2 linked regions of the Alligator mississippiensis genome follow. The protein of the gene in region 1 binds, or shares a complex with, the protein of each later gene. Links are inferred from orthologs where the notes say so. Each region holds a gene or a part of one and is shown in the gene's direction. Other genes may lie near its edges. The genes, in order: AP3B1 and AP3M1.

What was found.
Region 2: the proteins of AP3B1 (region 1) and AP3M1 are in contact, whole or in part, in a cryo-EM structure (PDB 9C5A), measured with the Homo sapiens proteins. The link is inferred for Alligator mississippiensis from reciprocal best matches to the Homo sapiens genes AP3B1 and AP3M1. Residues at the interface, in NP_003655.3 of Homo sapiens: Leu60, Lys64, Val67, Gly68, Ile70, Ala71, Lys72, Gly73, Ile92, Glu93, Lys96, Leu97, Val100, Arg104, Glu107, Asn128, Gln129, Leu130, Arg137, Arg143, Ser163, Pro164, Tyr165, Lys168, Asn169, His172, Gln175, Lys176, Leu202, Ser206; in NP_001307192.1 of Homo sapiens: Met1, Phe15, Leu16, Glu17, Trp20, Lys21, Ser22, Val23, Gln26, Val42, Glu43, Asn44, Val45, Pro46, Pro47, Val48, Ser50, Tyr55, Ser58, Ile59, Tyr60, Gln71, Thr72, Glu73, Val74, Pro75, Pro76, Leu77, Phe78, Ile80.

Annotation. Positions count from the first base shown.
Region 1 is NC_081826.1:256,610,981-256,619,738, reverse strand, and holds the start of AP3B1 (AP-3 complex subunit beta-1), read left to right. Parts: upstream 1-4,835; 5' UTR 4,836-4,884; coding exon 4,885-5,063; intron 5,064-8,758. UniProt on the Homo sapiens protein: Subunit of non-clathrin- and clathrin-associated adaptor protein complex 3 (AP-3) that plays a role in protein sorting in the late-Golgi/trans-Golgi network (TGN) and/or endosomes.
Region 2 is NC_081829.1:26,754,582-26,763,484, reverse strand, and holds the start of AP3M1 (AP-3 complex subunit mu-1), read left to right. Parts: upstream 1-5,371; 5' UTR 5,372-5,486; intron 5,487-6,626; 5' UTR 6,627-6,782; intron 6,783-8,903. Other genes in the region: ADK (adenosine kinase), read right to left, coding at 4,993-5,048. UniProt on the Homo sapiens protein: Part of the AP-3 complex, an adaptor-related complex which is not clathrin-associated. The complex is associated with the Golgi region as well as more peripheral structures.

The DNA of each region.
Region 1 (8,758 bases):
AATAAATAATAGTCCAGAGTTGATAACTTTTAAAATAATAATGTTTTACAACAATATAGATGCTAGTCTAAACTGTGTGTTGTTTAACATATTAATTTGTTTACTTGCAGAGGATTCCTGAAGTAGATTTTTCTCAGATGATGTTGTTCCTCCCCTTCTTTGTATTAGCTTTCTGTATATGGTTTGTACTCTTTCAAGGCAGTTTCTACATGTTGTTAAATGTTTCTTCATTCTTGTTGCATTGTTAGCATACTCCTGCCCACAATATTTACCTCTACCAACTTTCTTCCTTCCTTCAGTGGCTTGAACTTCACTCTAATGATGCCACATGCTAGTTTTTTTTCTGACTTGGGCATTATTATGACTGCTTAATTATAACTTTGAAACTGCTAAGTTTGCCTAATATTGTATTGGCATCCATTCATTGTTACTAATTAATTTTATGGAACAGCTACCAAATTGCCCATCAAGAATGACAGGCTCCAGGTCCATATCCATGCCCCCTGCCCTCCCCGAGGTGGATTAGTGTGTACTGGGGCCCTGGACAATGGTGGGGGAGGGGGGCAGAGGGCAGGGCCCCTTCCCCTTCTGGTGCTGGTGGGGAGCCTGGGTGGACCCTACCGGGGTAGGGAGGGCACATGTTCCCTTCTTCTTGCTGCTACCTACCCTGCTGTGGTCTCTCTCTTTCCACCCCCACCCCCCCCATGGACATACAGACACAAACATACTCTTCCTGCCATAAACACAGACACATACATACAGAGACGGGCGCACATTCAACTCGCTCTCTGCACATGCACACACATACGCAAATACACTCTCCTGGCCATGAACATGTGTGGGGGCGTGGGCATGCACACATGCACGTGTAGGGGTGTACTCATTTGGAGGGAGAAAAAGATTTGCGGGGGGGTGGTGCTGAGCATGCGTATGCCCTCCCCCCCACACGAAAGTCTGTCGGGGAAGGTGTGGGGGGCGGGGGCAGGGATCAGGAGGTAGTGGAGCAGAGCCAGGCCCAGGCTCAGGGCCAGCTGTACCTATGTGGCCGTGCCTTCCCCTGCGCCTGGGGTCATGGTCCCAGGAAACTGCGGCCCCTTGGGCCCAAACCTGCCCTGGCTGTGGCCCCAGACTGTCGGGGGGGGGGGAGCAGTGTGGGGCCAGCCTCAGCTGTAATTTCAGGCTGAATGGAACAGATGCCCTGGGTCATCCTGGGCGGCTCGTGCATAGGGCAGGGCAGTGCAGCTGTGGGCTAGGCTCTGCCTTTGCTCCTGCCTCCATGCCTTGCTGCTTTGATGGCTTGTGATGCCATGCGCCTCCTGCCTGGCCTGCCCCCAGTGGCACTCTGGTGCTGCACGGCGCGCTGTTGGAGCAGCCACAACAAGGCAGGAGCAGAGGCAGAGCCCAGCACACAGCAGGCACAGCTGCTGAACTCAGACTGGTAGGGCAGGTGGAGTGGCATATGGAAGTGGGGTCCGGGGGTTTGCAGCCTGCCCGCTCCTGGCTAGAGTGCCGAACTGGCTGCAGCACGCCCCCCTGCCCCCACCCCGTGATGCTCTACCCACTGCAGAAAACTTATTTTTTGTCAAAATAAAGTAATCTTAAGATAACGAGGCAGTGTGTTCTAGAGGATGGAGCACTGGGCTGGGATTTGGGAGACCAGAGTTCCATTCCTGAATCTGCCACTGGCTTGCTGGGTGACTTTAGGCAAAAACCTTTAGTCTTTTGTAGATGAAGAACTGAGGCAAAGGAGGGTAATATCAACCCCTGTTAGGACACATGCTTTGAGCTCTGCTGATTAAAAGCAATATATAAGAGCCATGAATATATTAAGATAATTGCTATTTGCTTAATTTTTATCCAAACAACTAGCAGGTTAAATTGCCTTTTGAGCCTATTTTTGTTACTGAAATGGAAGAATAACTTAACTATGATTGAGAATAGTCTGGTCTCCTTGCTGTGGTGCTTCTAGTGATCACAAAAAATAGATGAAAGCCCAGGGGAAAGTGTAGAGTCAGACTTGCCAGGAATTGCATTTAGGTTTACTGAAATGGATTTACAGTTGGATTACCATAAACCTCAGAAGCTAGCAAAGTCTGTGGCAAGGAATATGGGATGTTGTGGATCAACATGCAGAGTATAGTTTTCCATAAGGCAGAGCTCTGTACTTTGATTTTTTTTTAATTTTTTTTTTTAAACATAGTAGAAAAGTGAAAATATGTGGGGGTGCAGGGAAAAGCCTGACACTTGGGTAAACCAGAGTGTGTAATTAGAGGTTTTAAACACTATTTATTTATCTGGTTACACACACGATTAGAAGTTGCCACAGACACTAGAGCAGGGGTGTCCAACCTTTTTGAATGTGGGGCCGGATCACAAACTTTTTATCACCCAGTGGGCTGGCAAGCCATATTCAAAGACCTCACAGGATGTGGTATCACATCAGGAAGTGATGTCACGTGACCTTTGACACCAGTGAAGTTGCAGGAAGTGACAATGAGGGTCTAGAAATGTGGTTTAAAATCCAAAATAAAAACAGTATAAAAGCAAGAATGAAATAATACCAAACACTTGACTAAAATAAATACTTTTGCTTCTAGTCACTTTTTCAATGAATGAAAGAAGCATATTGCAAGTCAACAGATCAGATTTGGAAAAGAGATCAACCAAAGTGGAAACTAATCAAAGCAATAAAATATGGGCATTTTTTAGAATAATCTAGACTATTTATATGTAGGGTGACCATATATCCTCGATTGGCTGAGAGTGTCCCAAATTTTATAGGCTGTCATAGTGTCTTAGCCACTGGAGAAAATTTAAGCAAAAGTACCAGATTGGTGGGAATCTGGGAGCTGGGGGGGGTGTGTGTGTGTGCGCGCGCGCACTTCCAAGCACATATGTGTTGCAGCTGACAGCCAAAGCAGCTATTGGGATGTGCTGGGAAGCATGGTACTTTTGTCACTGGAGCAAGGAGGGCTGTGGGCTGGGGTGGGGACTGGGGTGCTGGCCAGGCTGGGGATGCTGTATGTTCTCTGTCTGCCCTGCTCTGACTCATAGCTCTGGCCCCATTCTGGCACCTGCTACTGCATCCTGGCTGTGTGCTGCTGGGCTAAGGCAAAGTCAGCCACATTGCAGCCCCATGTGGAGAGCCTGGTCTGGCCTGACTGCATCCTGCCCTAAGCAGAGAGGAGAGTATGAGGCTGGGGCTGGCTGCCGCTGCCCAGTCAGGGACTCATGGCCAGGATGCAGCTGCAGGTGTCAGGATGGGGACAGGGGCAGGGCCAGAGCTGTGAGTCAGACAGAACCCATGCAGAGTCCCCAGTCTGGCCAGCGCCCCAGTCTGCAGCCCTGGCTGTGGTGAGAGAGGCACTGTGCTCCTGACAGCTGTTCTGGCTCTGCTCACTGCCCCACACTTCAGCATGCATGCATGTGTGTATGTGCACATGTGTGTGTGTCCTCCCTTGTATCGCTTCATCCTGGGTGTCCTGGTCTGAGGAACAAGTGCAGCCTCTGGGCTGGGCTCCTCCTGCCCAGCCCGGCTCTGGCAACCGCGCACCCCACAGCCCCAGCCCGGCCCTGAGGCGCCCCCAGCTCCGCGTGGGGACTTACCCTGTGCCTCTATCCACCACATATGCAGGCAGGACGCGGGCCATGCTGCAGCTCCCCTGGCCGTGCACCGGGGGCAAGGGGCGGAGCCAGAGAAGAAGTTGCATGTGCTGTCCCCTCCCCAGCTCATCCAGTCACGCGTGGCTGGGGCAGCGGCAATGGGACCCGGCTCACTGATGAGCCCAGCCCTGCGGGGGTGAGCAGCTCCCCTCCCCTCGCTGCCAGCTGGGGCCTGCAGGCCGGCCCTGCCTGCCTCGCCTCTGCCCCACCGCCGCCGCCTCCGTGGAGCAGGCGCAAGGACGCCTCCCCTGTCCCAAGTGAGGGACCTCGGGCTAAAGAAAATGGCTTGGGTTGCATGGCGGCCCGCAGGCAGCATGTTGGATAAGCCTGCACTAGAGCAGGGGTATGCAACATGGTGGATCCAGCTGGCAGCCAGGCTCCATTTCCCAGCAGCCCCTGCAGCCAGTTCCCATGAAGGAAACCCTGGCAGTGGTGGTGTCCTGACAGCATGGGGCCAGGGTCTCCATGGAGATTTGGCCCCAGCAGTGCTGGCAGGGTGCGCAACTGGGACAGGGCTGCTGGGAAATGGAGTCCACCCCGGGCCAGACTTTGCCTGCCCCTACACTAGGGTATATTTATGTTGTTTAAGTAAAAAAAAAAAAGTGAGTAAAACATTCATACTGTGTTTCTAGATAATAGTTTAGTATAGTTTTCTTACGTGAAGACTTGTCTTTCTGGTTTTCTACATACTAAACTATAATTACTTTCAAATCTGAAAAGATTGTGTTCAGTTGTCAACTCATTTGTAATTTCCTTTGCTGACAGGTGGACTGATATGATAAGAACACTGTTTGTAGAAATCCATGAACTAAAGACCCTTTCTTTTCATTAATGAACATAACACCCCCGCCCCCTGCATTTTGAAGCTTGTCTTTCTGTTTTAAGATTTTGATTAAGGAAATGAAATGTTTTGTTGTATCTTCCTGTTTCTGAGATTATGAAAATATTGCTGTGCTGCTTAGTAAACAATGTAAAGGCTACACGGCTGAAACAAGTATTTGGCAAGTTCTACTGGTGATTGTATTTAGCTGATAAGATGTATTTTTCAAGGAAAATGACCTTTGCAATCTGTATAGCATTTTTTCCCTTCAAGTTAACAGTGGAGGGAGTGAATATCCTGTTACCTCACAATAATTTCTTTTTAATTCCTGTTCAGTCTCAGTTGGCATTAAGTAACTTGGGTTAGCTGATTCGCTGACTACTTTCTTTACATTTGAAAGAATGGAGCAAGATTCTTCACTGCTCAGTAAAATTAATGAGGCTTCTGGATGTATTAAATCTGTTCTTGAAAAAGCAGGAAGCCTCCAGGTTGCACTGAAGCTGGAGCCTACTATAGAAGAGAAAGGGCTTACCAATAGTTCTGATGATCCATGTGTACTCATGGAACTAAATCTCACTGTGTAAGTATCCTTGATCCTGAGATGCTTGCCCATCTTTTCTTCTTGCTTCCCATGTAAATAGACTGCAGTTTTTATTGGTTGACATGTGAGCAATGTAAACTTGAAATAGCTTTCTTGTAATTTCAACAATTAATGCAGAAATGGTGTTTTCAAATAATTTAATCATGCTGTAGTTTTTTAAGACTTCTGAAGAATGGTGTGAAAAAAAAAAGTTTACAGTAGTAAAGCTGATGTATTTTATTGTTTATGACTTTGTAAACTGTTGTGGTTTACATCTTCTAATCTCCTAGTTATTTAAATATTAAAATATTTACTGTGGATAAACAGTATTATGACACATGACACTTTTTCCTATTAAGCATCTTTGTCCCATTCTTTCTCTTTCTTCCCATTCTTTCTATATTGCCAGTATCTTGACTGCTGTTTTCTAGGGTCATATGTGCCCTTTCAACAGCTACTAAATGTTTTTGGCTTATAGTCATCCTTTTCACCCAGGTCTTGGTTCTCTTGTTGTTTCCAGCTGATAAGCTCCCAATTCATAGTAGAAACACTTGTTATTAATCATGAAGTGCATGGCCTTGCACTTGTGTTCTATGTAGTTTCATCCAGTTTCAATTGCTTCAGTTCTCCAGGTGATTCAGTTGATGTATGATGTTCCAATCCTCTGATGCTTACAACTTCGGTGTCATCAGCAAATACTATTAGCATACTCCTATTTTGTGTGCCAAGCTAACTAAACTTGTAAGTGAGGTCTCTTCCAAGACCTGTCTTGAGAGGAGCTACTCTAGCAACTTCTCTTCAGCATTGATGCTTACCCTTTCAGTGTAACCGGTTGTTTCCCCTTCAGCCAATCCTTACCCACCTTAGAGTTGTTCTAACTCCCCATCTCCATTCACTAATAATTCTCCTGTTGTACTATTTCAAATGCTTTACTGAAGTCAAGATGCATTAGAACCGCAACTTCTTTGTCTAAACAAAATCAGCTATCATATTGACAAAGGGAAGTTTCATGTTTTATTTCCCATATCTTTAATTATTTCCTTTAAAACTTGTTTTGAATCTTTGCATACTGCTTGAACTAAGACAGGTATGTCTGTAGCTACTTGGATACCTTTTCCTTTCTTCCTTTTGCATAGTTATCTCACGTGCTGTTTTCAGAGTAAAAAAGCTCTCCTTGACTTCTTTGACACTTCTGTTTATTTGCTACAGGACCTGCAGTTTAGTGTGCCAGTCTTTCAATTTTTTTTGTCCTCCTCAATGTGAATAGATTAAAGCTTTTTAATCTTTGCTGCTTCTTCAGATGTGGTAACTTGGATTATTATTCACAATGTCAATAGCCATGCCACCTTTTTCGTCCATATCAGTGTCTTTATGGCAAATTGTAGCCAAGCAAGTATGCATATGTGCTTTGACCCATTTTTATAACCTATGTGTTTTGGTGTGGTTTTAGGTATGGCTTTTGGGCCATACCGAGATTGTCCTTCTCCTCTCTTTCCTGTTTTCACTGCATAGTAGCTCTACTTAATCTTGCCTTGTTTTCTTTTTTTATGTATATGGCTGAAGAACCTTTTGCCATTTGTTTTAATTACCATTGCAAAATTTCTTGGCTTGTATTTTGGTAACTTACTTTTATCCCAGTGCTTCTTGATCTCAAAAGCCTAAAGTACGTCTCTTCTTGCTTGATTAGTTCTGTTTTCCATACCTGGTAGGCTCTCTGCTTGCTTTTGTTTTTTTTGGGAGGGGGGGAGTAACTGTTCTTACAGTTAATTTTTTTGTCTTTGGCTGGTTTATAATTGTAGCACTTTTTGGCTTTGAGAAATTTTAAGTCCTTTTCTGTGATGTTTCCTAGACCCCTAAAGAGCAATTGAAATTATTATGGACTCAGATTTGCCCATGTCTGTCTTGAAGTGTGGTGCCAAAACTGGATGCAGTACTTGAGGTGAGGCTCTGCCAGTACAGAATTGTTTCCTTTGACTTGCAAGTGACACCTCTGTTAATACAGCTCAGTATGCTATTATAGGCTTATATTGGCAAAAAGAGCACACAGTTGGCTGGCTACTGCTTATGGTCTACTATATCCTCTGGGTCTTTGGGCAGGACAGCAGTATAGCCAGTCATTTCCCAGTTTGTTTGTACGTGTGATTCTTCCAGGCTAAGAACAGAACCTTGCACTTGTCCTTTACTTAATATGAAAATCTATTCTAAAAAAAATCCTGCTCTGGCAGCACCCTGTCCCTGTGAGTAGATAAAAACTCTTGTAGTTAGTAAGTTTAGAACTGAGTTGTAGGATAGGGAGGGAACTCAAGGATTTCAACCCCCTGCACAAATGTAGGATATGCTGTTCTTAAACCATCCCAAACATGCCTATCCATCTCTTTTGTGAAACATGCCTATCCATCTCTTTTCATCACCCAAATGAGGAAATTCCTTGTTCCTTTTATCTTATGGTCTTCACATGTATGACTTTTATTTCCCCCTGCAGTTTTATCTAAATCTTGCTTCTCTCAGTGTCTGTTTTCCTGCATCATTCTTAAAAAGAAGTGCTTAGAACTGGAAGCACTAAAATTGCTGAGTCCTAACCCGTGCTGAGTTGAGTGATATCATTACCTTCCATGTCTTAAATGCAATACTTAGGTTAATACAGCCTAAGAATGCATCTGTTTGTTTCCTGTTCTTTCTGGGGGGGTTGTTTTGTTTTTTGCAATGGCATTACATTGCTAACGTGTGTTGAGTTTGATCCATCATGGCCCTTAAGGACTCATTTGGCAGTGTTACTGTCTAACGGTAGGGTAAGCAGTGTTACTTTCTGGCCACCTATCCCTTATTCTGTCTGTAAACATCCTCTCTCCTCAGGTTACACCTTATTTTTTTTGTCCTTGAATTATTTTATTTTGTTGTCTGCAGCCCAGTTCTACAACTTTTATTGTAGATCCTATTGATTTCTACGAGTCCCCTGGGACTTACATTTTTGGATTGCTTTAAATGCTTAAAAATAAGGGCTGTGAAGGGGTCTTTCATTGTGATAAAGTACCTTAGCTGTATTATGAGCTATGACTCTTCAGTTGAGCAGGGTCAAGCTTCTGATGGAGACCAAAGGTGAAAAACTGTGGTTTTCCACAGTTGTGGAAACCAAAGGGAAATGATGTAGACAGCAGCTGTAGGTTGCTACATGCATGACTGAAAAATTCTTCAGCTATTGGGGTACTTTGGCTTTGCATACAAGGTAATACTCGAGAATTTCAAAGTAAGTGGAGGGTGGAGATAACAGATAATGGCTTAATGAACAATGGCCCTTGTTGAAAGCTGGCATTTCATTGAATTGCTGGTTTTTAAAGTGAGCTGATGATGGGTCTAGGTCCTAATGGGTATCAACCATGACATCTAGCACTAACGTTATCACAACAGCTGGACCTTTTGTTGTTGAGGAAGATCAAGTGTGGGTCTTTTACTAAATAGAGGAGACAGCCCCATGACAGATGAACCTAATAGCAGCTTTCAACTACCTGAAGAGTGAAAAGGATGAAGCTAGACTGTTCTCATTGGTGGCAGATGACAGAATAAGGAACAACAGTCTCAAGTTGCAGCAAGGGAAATTTAGGTTAGCTATTAGGAAGAACTTTCTTGGTAGTAGGATAGTAAAGCACTGGAACCAGGTTATGAAGAGTTTGTGGAATTGCCATCCTTGGAGGGTTTTA
Region 2 (8,903 bases), on another chromosome or scaffold:
GAGGTTTTTGATGCTAAACCCTTATAGAAGAAATAAGCCTCAGAAAAATGAGTTATTCTCTCCCTCAAATAGTTTAAAAAATATGAGTCTCTAAATCTCCAGCTATATACAATATGCATCTCAGTTTTATTCTTCTCTTGGGACTCAATACAGCAAACTAATCCATACACTGTTAGTCAGACTCTAGCACTGAACCATGAGTTCAGTTCCCTGGAGACCAGTGAGAATATTCCCCTAAGCAAAGTTATGCATGTGTTGAAATATTTACAGGCTTGGAGAACCCAGAAGGGAAGTGGTGCACAAGAATAAGGTGTAGAAGTCAAGGGCAAGAAGAAGAGCAAGGTGAAATTAAAAAAGCCAGAAAAAAGAAGACAAAACAAAAGTGAATTGCTAACCTGCAGATGTGGTTTACTGGAGTTTATTTAATATACTTGGAATCTTCATTCATTTGAAATAAGTTGAAAAAATAAATTACATTTTAAAATGCATGTAATACTAAGAATCCCCCACCACCCACCCTCTAAATACATTAATATTATTACACAGTTACCAATACAACTGTGGATTTTCTTATCTGTACCAAATCAATCAAGGTCTAATTTCAACCATGGGGATGAACATTGATTCTTTCTACAAAAAAAATTGAGGAAAGAATGCGTCAGTGTGTGCTTGATAACTGAATCTAAAGAGGAACAGTTGCTTAACTGGAGAAAACAATATTGCACTTCGTACTTTTAATGATAAGCATCTCCTGCCAAATGTAATGCTTTCGCATTCTCCATGTGGACAAATCAATTTGCTCAGAAAACAAATCATGAACAGACATCATGATCATCCAATCAATTCAGGAGCTGTTGAGCCACCAGAGGAGCATAATAATGTAACAGAGATTACTATAAAACAGAAAAAGGTTGGAATTTACACCTAAAATTTAAGCCAATATTATAACAAGGTTGGAGGAGGATTAAATTTCCTGCCACTCCACCACCAGCAGAGCTCAATTATGCTGTAACAAGGTTACCTGGTACATTGTATCCATTGTGTGGGTAAAATCTTACAAAATCATCTTTGGAGAGTTTATCAGTTGTTACAGGCATATAGGAATAGCTTCTTTAAAAAAAAAAAAAAGAAAGAAAAAAAAAGAAGAACTTTATTAATGAAGCATGGGGTTACAAGCAGATAAATGTACCTGCTTCCATGTTTATTTCTCTCTAAATATGTATATACTGCTTAAGCTGAATGAAATGCAGTTTGGTTTGGGCTATGTAAGCTTGAGGTTGATTTTCCAGCCTTTCCTTGTTTTAACAGCATATTTAAAGAGTGTTGACATTAACTGTAGCTTTTCTAACACAAGTTTATATTTTTACTTATAATTTGTTTTTTGTTGGGTTGGTTTTTTGGGGGTTTTTGCTGTACAGCTATATTTTTCCTCTTCTATTATCTGCAACTGTCCTTGCAACTATTATTAGACTTGAAAAAGTCACTCAGCTGCCAAGAAACAAGTTACTGATATATGCTGCCTTCTGTTTTTACACTAATGTCACAAATTGCTTCCATAGGAATAGCTAATTCAGCAGAGCCAAGACTATGTAAAGCCACTATTCTCATGATACTGTTTGAGCTCCTGTGCCTGACACTAAATTTTTCAATCAATTAATAATTACCACTGGATCCGGCCATTTCAATTTCAAGTCATTTTAATTGATTTAATTGATGACAGTTGTATCTACCCAATATTTATTGCCAAATCTAATACAAAAGTCCTGAAAATACATCTAGGCAATTCATGCTCTTGTTTTGCATATGCTTTGGGCTACCTCTTATTTAAGTTAAATAACAAAAAAAACCCAAGTTCCAGTTTTAGTGTAGTGCTAATCAGGAGACTCCTCAATGCAGTAGTGTTCCTTTTATAGCAATGAATTATGAATGATTAATTATTAATGTTAGCAACACTCTAAAATATGTAAAGTGCTCTAAAACAAACTTCCTTGGGTGAATTTGATATCTTTTATTAGACCAACCCAAATGGTTGGAGAATAGTTATTAAGCAAGCTTTCGGGTTCAAAAACCCTTCGTCAGGCTAAGGACGCTGCAGCAGATGCAACAACAAACTTTGCATGCGTTAATTAATTATCTAATTAATTAATTAGATTAACTTACTCTAGCATCCTGGCTAAATGAGAAAAGATAAGAAGTGTCTACTAGTTATTTCATTTGTTTTTACTTCATATTTTTAAACACCCAGAGAAAACAAATATTATTTAATGATCAAAATATCTAATACAAACAAATTAGAATAAGAATTCAAAGGTAGATTTGCTCTTAACACTACAAGCCAGATATGCAGGGCAGAATCGCAGTCAGAAACTTAAATATCTTAAGTAAATCTTGGAAATCATCAGCCCCACCTTGCCCTACAACTGTTAGCAGCCTCCATCCCCTGCTCCTGTCTCAAACATGCTTTCTACCATCCTGTTTCTTATGCATGAGGATAACTCTCTATCATAATTTGCAGGCAAGGTTCTTTGAGTAGATGTGATATCTTTTATTAGACCAATTAAGCAGTTGGACAAAAGTTCTCAGCAAGCTTTTGGGTTCAATCACCCTTCTTACAACCAAAAAAAAAAAAAACAGCTATCATCATTTGCAAACTTGTCACATTATCTGTTTTAAATCTTTCTTGAATACTTCTCTTTTTCTGCCATGCCTACAAAATCACTCCCATCTGGCATTGGTTAAGGAAATGTCCAGATGAGACTTCTATTCTGATAATGTTATCAGCTTCATTCCTGCATTATTCACCCATCTCCAACGTGTTTACTTGCTCTGTCCATTTTTCATCCTATCTAACACAGGGAAGTTTGCTAGTGGCTTCAGCCAGGCCATAATTTCACTCCTAGAGTGAATAAAGACCATTTTCCTAGTTACTTATCTGCACAGTAATCTGTACAATAATGGATTTCAGTCTTGACTTGGGTTTCTGGAGGCTACTATAATAAAATAATAACACAAAAGGGGTATGGATATCAGCTACATGCATATATATAAGAATCACAGAATCATAGGAAATTGGGGTTGGAAGGGAGGTCCTCAGGAGGTCATCTAGTCCAAACCCCTGCTCACAGCAGGTCCATCAACAACTACCTCATCCCAGCCAAGGTTTTGTCTGGCTAGGTCTTAAAAACCTCTAAGAATGGAGATTCCACAACCTCTCTGGGTAGCCTGTTCCAGTGCTTTACTACCCTCCTAAACTTCCCTTGCTGCAAGTTGAAACCACTGCACCTTGTTCTGTCATCTGCCAGCACTGAGAACAGTCCATCTCCACCCTCTTTGGAACCACCATTCAGGTAGTTGAAGGCTGCTATTTTATCCCCTCTCAGTCTCCTCTTCTCTTGATTAAATAAGCCCAATTCCCTCAGCCTCTCCTTGTAAGTCATGTGTCCCAGCCCCCTAACTATTTTTGTTACCCTCCACTGGACTTTATCCACAAATTATTTCCAATTTATTCACATCTTTTCTGTAGTGGGGTCTCAAAACTGGACACAATACTCCAGATGTGACCTCACCAATGCTGAATAGAGGAAAATACATCTATACATATATATATCTGTCTACAGCAGGGGCAGGCAACTATTTCAGGCAGAGGGCCGCTTACTGAATTTTGGCAAGCCATTGAGGGCTGCATGACAGGCAGCCAGGGGCAGATAAATACTAATTTTCTAAATTTTTTAGGGGCCCCATGGGCCAGATAGAATGGCCTGGCAGGCTGTATCCAGCCTGCAGGCCGCATTTTGCCCACCCCTAGTCTACGGGGTTCAAATTAAATTTCAACTCTGGGGAGGGGGTGGGGGAGGGCGGAGGGGAGAATCTGAAAAAATAACAGAAATTAAACCAGTTCATTGATTAACAAGTCCATCTAAGTGAAGGAGCAATCTGATCAAGTTATGATCTTCGAATCTTACAGGGGAGCTCTTGTCTCTTATGGGTGGGCTCAGCCCTGCCCCAAACTCCCCCTTAATTTGCACCCTGTCTATCAATATCTATCTATTATTATCTATATCTATCTATTACATTAAAGAAACAGATTCCCACAATGCAATTTGCCCTAAAACATATTCATAATAAGGTAGTGTAAGAGTGATGATGTAGCTATGATGGTTCAGCAATTATGTGAGAGAGAAGGATTTCTTAGGGTGATATTTTTTATTGAACAAACTGTGTGGTAGGATCAGAGGTTTCCCAGGCTAGAACCTTGTCTGGTTTTGCATTTTTCCTATCTGACAGAAGGAGTCTGGCTAATGGCTTCACCTAGGTCATGTCTAGCATGGGAAAGCTTGTCTGACTCTACTGGATAGTTGGTCCAATAAAAAAATACCTCCCTAAGAAGTCATTGCCTCTCAGATAAGAAGTTCATAGTTACATCTAGGGCCTCTCAATCCAGGTTCCCTAGAAGCACTGTGCAAACAGTGAGTCGAAGGGCTCCCCGAAGGCTTGGGGAAGGCAGCATCGTTTGAAACCCAGTTGTAGCGTGAACGGAGATGCCCAGCTCTGGGCTTGTGCCAGCCATGCTGGGCACCCCAGAAGTGACGCTCTCCTAGCTGGCAGCAGCAGCTGCGCACAGATCCGTTGTGCAGGCTAGTGCTTGTCTTCTCCTCTGCAGCCCTTGAGGGAAAAGCTGTTTTTTGGGGGGCCTGGGTGCTCTTTGATCTGCTCTTTTGGCCCCGTCTTTTCTCTGCCCCCCACTTTGATGGACCTGAGCAGATGCACGGGCTTAGGTCTGTGGGCACTTGAGCCTCAGCAGGCATCACTGAGGAACGCGAATCATCCACACCCACGTGCAGCCAGGCTACGCGTGGCAGAGGCAGCGCCCGAGATCCGCTGCCGCCGCAACCGCGTGGGCTCGGAGCCCCTGCAAGCAGCGACCGCCCGCCCGCCCGCCGGCAGCGAGCCGCTCGCGTTTGCCCAGGGCACGTGCGCCCGCCCCCGCGTTACCTCAGCCGCTCGTGCTCCCGCTTCGGCTTCTTGGCTCGCGGCTCGCCTGCTGCCATCTCCGCACCCGCGTGCGGCAGCCCCGGCTCGGCGCGATCTCCCCTCAGGCAGCAGCGGGGCAGAGTCGGCTACGCAAAGCGCCTGATCCGGGCCGGGCCGGGGGCGGGACGCTGCCGCACACGTGCGAGAGGCCTCCCACCGCCCCGCGGGCAGCACGGCTCCAGGGGCCGCCTAAGGCCGAGCACCCCGCGCCCTCACGCAGTCCGCGGAAGCCGGCGGCAGGGCACGCGTTTGCTGCAGGCAGTCACATAGTCACCTGCGCCGGCCGGGGAGGAGGTGCGGGGTGGGGGCCTCGGAGCCATATTTGCCAGCGCTGCGGGGGGAGCGGGAGCGGAGCCGGGTCGGGCCGGGCAGGGCTAGTGCGGGCTCCGGCGCAGGTGAACGGGGTCGCGCGGGGAGAGCCGGGGCCTGGAAAAGGAAGGGTGTTTTTTTTTCTGGTAGGTGTTGAAAGCTGATGCTTCTGGAAATGACCTCCCTTTGTCCTGCCCGTGTTGCTCTGAGCCTGGAAGTCCCGGCCTGGCTCGTCACAATTTATTACTTCATTAGTTAATGTTCTTGGAGGCTATAAAACGCTCAGGGTGGCTGTGCTTTACTGCAGGGTTTTGGCCGTCTCCGGACAGAGGAGCGTGTGCTCGGGATAACCATCTGGGAAGTAGCAGGGAAAATTAACAAGGGCATTTTATGTTTTCTGTTTATAGACGTCTGCCGCATTATGCGCTTTCGTTTTGGCTGGGAAACCTTCCCTTTGTCCCTTTTGACTTAAAAATGTTTCCAGCTGGCAGCCTAGACTTGGTTTCATGAAGGAATTTGACATTGAAAAAAATATTGCATCTTAGTAATGATGTGGTTGAGAGTTAAGGGGTGTATCTAGCTGGTTTTCTTGGTCATGGTGTGAAAACACTACTTATTTATTAACTGGGTTGGTCCGGGTTTGTTTCTTAATGGAGTCTTTTACTGCCGTTGGCTTAAAGTTAAATACGGAAAGCCTCTTGTGCTGTAGGAGAAAACAAGAGACTGCTGTGTTAATGCTTCCTGTCTCTTGCAGTTTTACAGTTGTGTGAACCCCTATCCACATCAGATTTATTTGAGATGTTTAATGGTAAAGCCTCAGCATTATGACTAAGTTCAAATGTGCAATGTTTAACTTTAAAAATATTAAAGCAAGAGACTCTACATATAAAAAAAAAATAGCCTTAACTTTCTGATTATGTGTAAGTAGAACATTTTAAGTATGGAAATTGAGGCTCTGATGTTGAATTCAGACATAAGAGAATGCCTGAATTGTTGGGGATCGTAGTGCATTTCAGTGTGAACTGAGACTTAAAGGTTTTTAGGTGTCTAGAGCCTTTTGCAATTGATAGGAGTAAGATGCTTACAAAAATTTTGAGACTTTAGGCCTGGATGTCTGAAAGTTCATTTGAAGAGTATTCTTCAATTGGTGGATCTGCTGTAGTTGTCTAAACCAGGGGTGGGCAATTATTTCGGGCGGAGGACTGCTTACTGAGTTTTAGCAAGCCATCAAGGGCCGCATGACAGGCAGCCACGGCAGATAAATATTAATTTTCTAAATTTTTTAGGGGCCTCGCAGGCCAGATGGATGCGACCTGCCAGGCCATTCTAGTCCATGTTTTGCCCACCCCTGGTCTAAACCGTGTGAAATGGGAAAACCAGACTTCTATGCAAAAACTTAAACTACAATTTTGGTAATAGCAAGTTGTTTCATAGTAATTCAGGTAAGAACTTCCTTATCTTTTATTAAGTATTTTTTTTTTTATCATCCCCATATGGATTTCACAGGAGCAAGATGGCCCATGGTATCTAGATGGCAAGGAAAGGCCTTTTTTTTCCTAATTTGCAAACACTTAAGGTGCCAGCTTTTCTAGAGACCACTAAATGCATACCCCTTGCCTTTTAAGTCTAAGTTTCATGTAGCCTGTGATGTGGGAACATAAAGTAAACTAAATCTGTTGCCTGCTATGTCTTTAGAATTCTTGGCTTTGTGTTTTGGCATGTTAACAAACCAAGGAACCATATCTCCCTTGTTAACACTCGGGTTGTTTCTCTGAAGGCTTGTCTGTTAGGAACAGGGAGAAGCAACATCAAGGAGAACCCAACTTTGAGCTACCCAGCAGCAGCGCAGTTCCCTACTGGCTGGAAGCTATACCCTCAGTGCAGCCAGGAAACAAGGGGCTAGGGAGGAGTGACAGCAGCAGCATGAATGCAGTTCCCAGCTGGAAGCTGTGCTTGTGCCCTAACCAGGGAGTCAGGGGTTAGGAAGAGTGGTGTTAGTGTCGGCTCCCAGCTGCCTGACCCAGTCATAGGCACAGGCAAATCCCCCTTGCTGCTGATGTGCCACCAAAGCCACCCAGTGCATGCTGGACTTGAGATGAGTTGTTCTGGCCTGTGGCTTTAAAAAGTTCCTAGCCCCTGGTTTATGGGGTACAGTGCTCCTCTGGGCAAAGGGATTCTAGGTTCCAGTCCCTATTCCCAAGGTTATTGGCTTGTTGTTATTATTATTTAACAATGATATTTGCATGGGAACTGCAGGAAGAGTCCTGGGTGCTGGGATCAACCCAGGTTTTCCTTCCATTAGTGAAGCGGTGTAACCACTAGTGTACAGTGCCAGTCTCTCTCTTGTTCTCTTTCTGGCCTCATATCTCCTGTGATGGATGCCCAGTGGAGAGGAGGAGGAAGAGAATGTTTTACCCAGCTTATCCTTTAGTGTGGCAGAATATTCTCCTAAGAAGGGGATTTGAATCCCCCAGGGGACCTAAAATTCAGGGTTCCTGATTGCGGTGCAAGTACTGTGATATGTTGCGTTTAAAAAAAATGTTGGCTGTTGTAGCCCAATGTTTTTGAGCTAAGTATGAGTTAAGCATGCTCTGAGCACATATAATGCATCTTTGGGGATGAGTTCATCCTTGCATACCCCATAATGCTAAATGCCTCACATTTGGCTATGCTCAGAAGGTAAGTGCAGAACCTTGTAATTTTGCAGTCCAAAATGGAAGCATGGTTTGAACTTGGACATCTTCTGAGGTTTTGGAGCTTGTAGAGCAGGGCCAAACTTAATTACTGTTTGAAACTTGGCCAGTTAAATTATACCAAAATCTTGTTTAGACTCCTGCAGGACCATACTGGATCTTGACTCACCTGGCAGGTTTGAAGCAGAGCCAGGAGTGGAACCCACATCTCCTGAATTTCTACCTAGTGCCTTAGCTACAAAACCATCTCTCTCTGTTGTGCTTTCACGTGCAGCTTTGTTTATCTCAGCAGGCACCTGCATTGTTGCAAGTTGCTGGCATGCAATATAGCATCTTGCACATTGCCTGTGTATACTGCTCTCTGCCTTCTTTTATAACCATAGTTGTAACTTTTCAGTACATTCTAGGTAATGATTAGTAACAGTGTAAAGTGGCATCATACCTTTAATAGTAATATATCTGTTTAAGGGTTTACAGTCATTGGGCATCTAATTAAACACTGTCTGTAATAATGTAATAGATGTTATTTACCTTTGATAGTATGCCTGTTCCTGTGTCCTCTTATCAGCTCTGAAAGGAGTTGGAGATTGTAATGTTTTTCCATATTGTTACATGAAAGAGTTTAAGCAAACAACAGTAATACAAATACAGTACAACTGATTAATCCAAACTGATTAATCAAAGAGCTGTCCAGTGCACTAAGGAAATAAATTGTTTATAGGGGAAATAATTTGTCTATCAGTTGTAATTCAGAGGTATTAATTGTAGAAAACAGCTTTAAAAAAGTGGATGTTAATAACTTGGGGTGAATGGTGTCCCTTTCTTATTACTGAGTCATTTATGTATGTGGACAGGAAAATTGGACTCTTC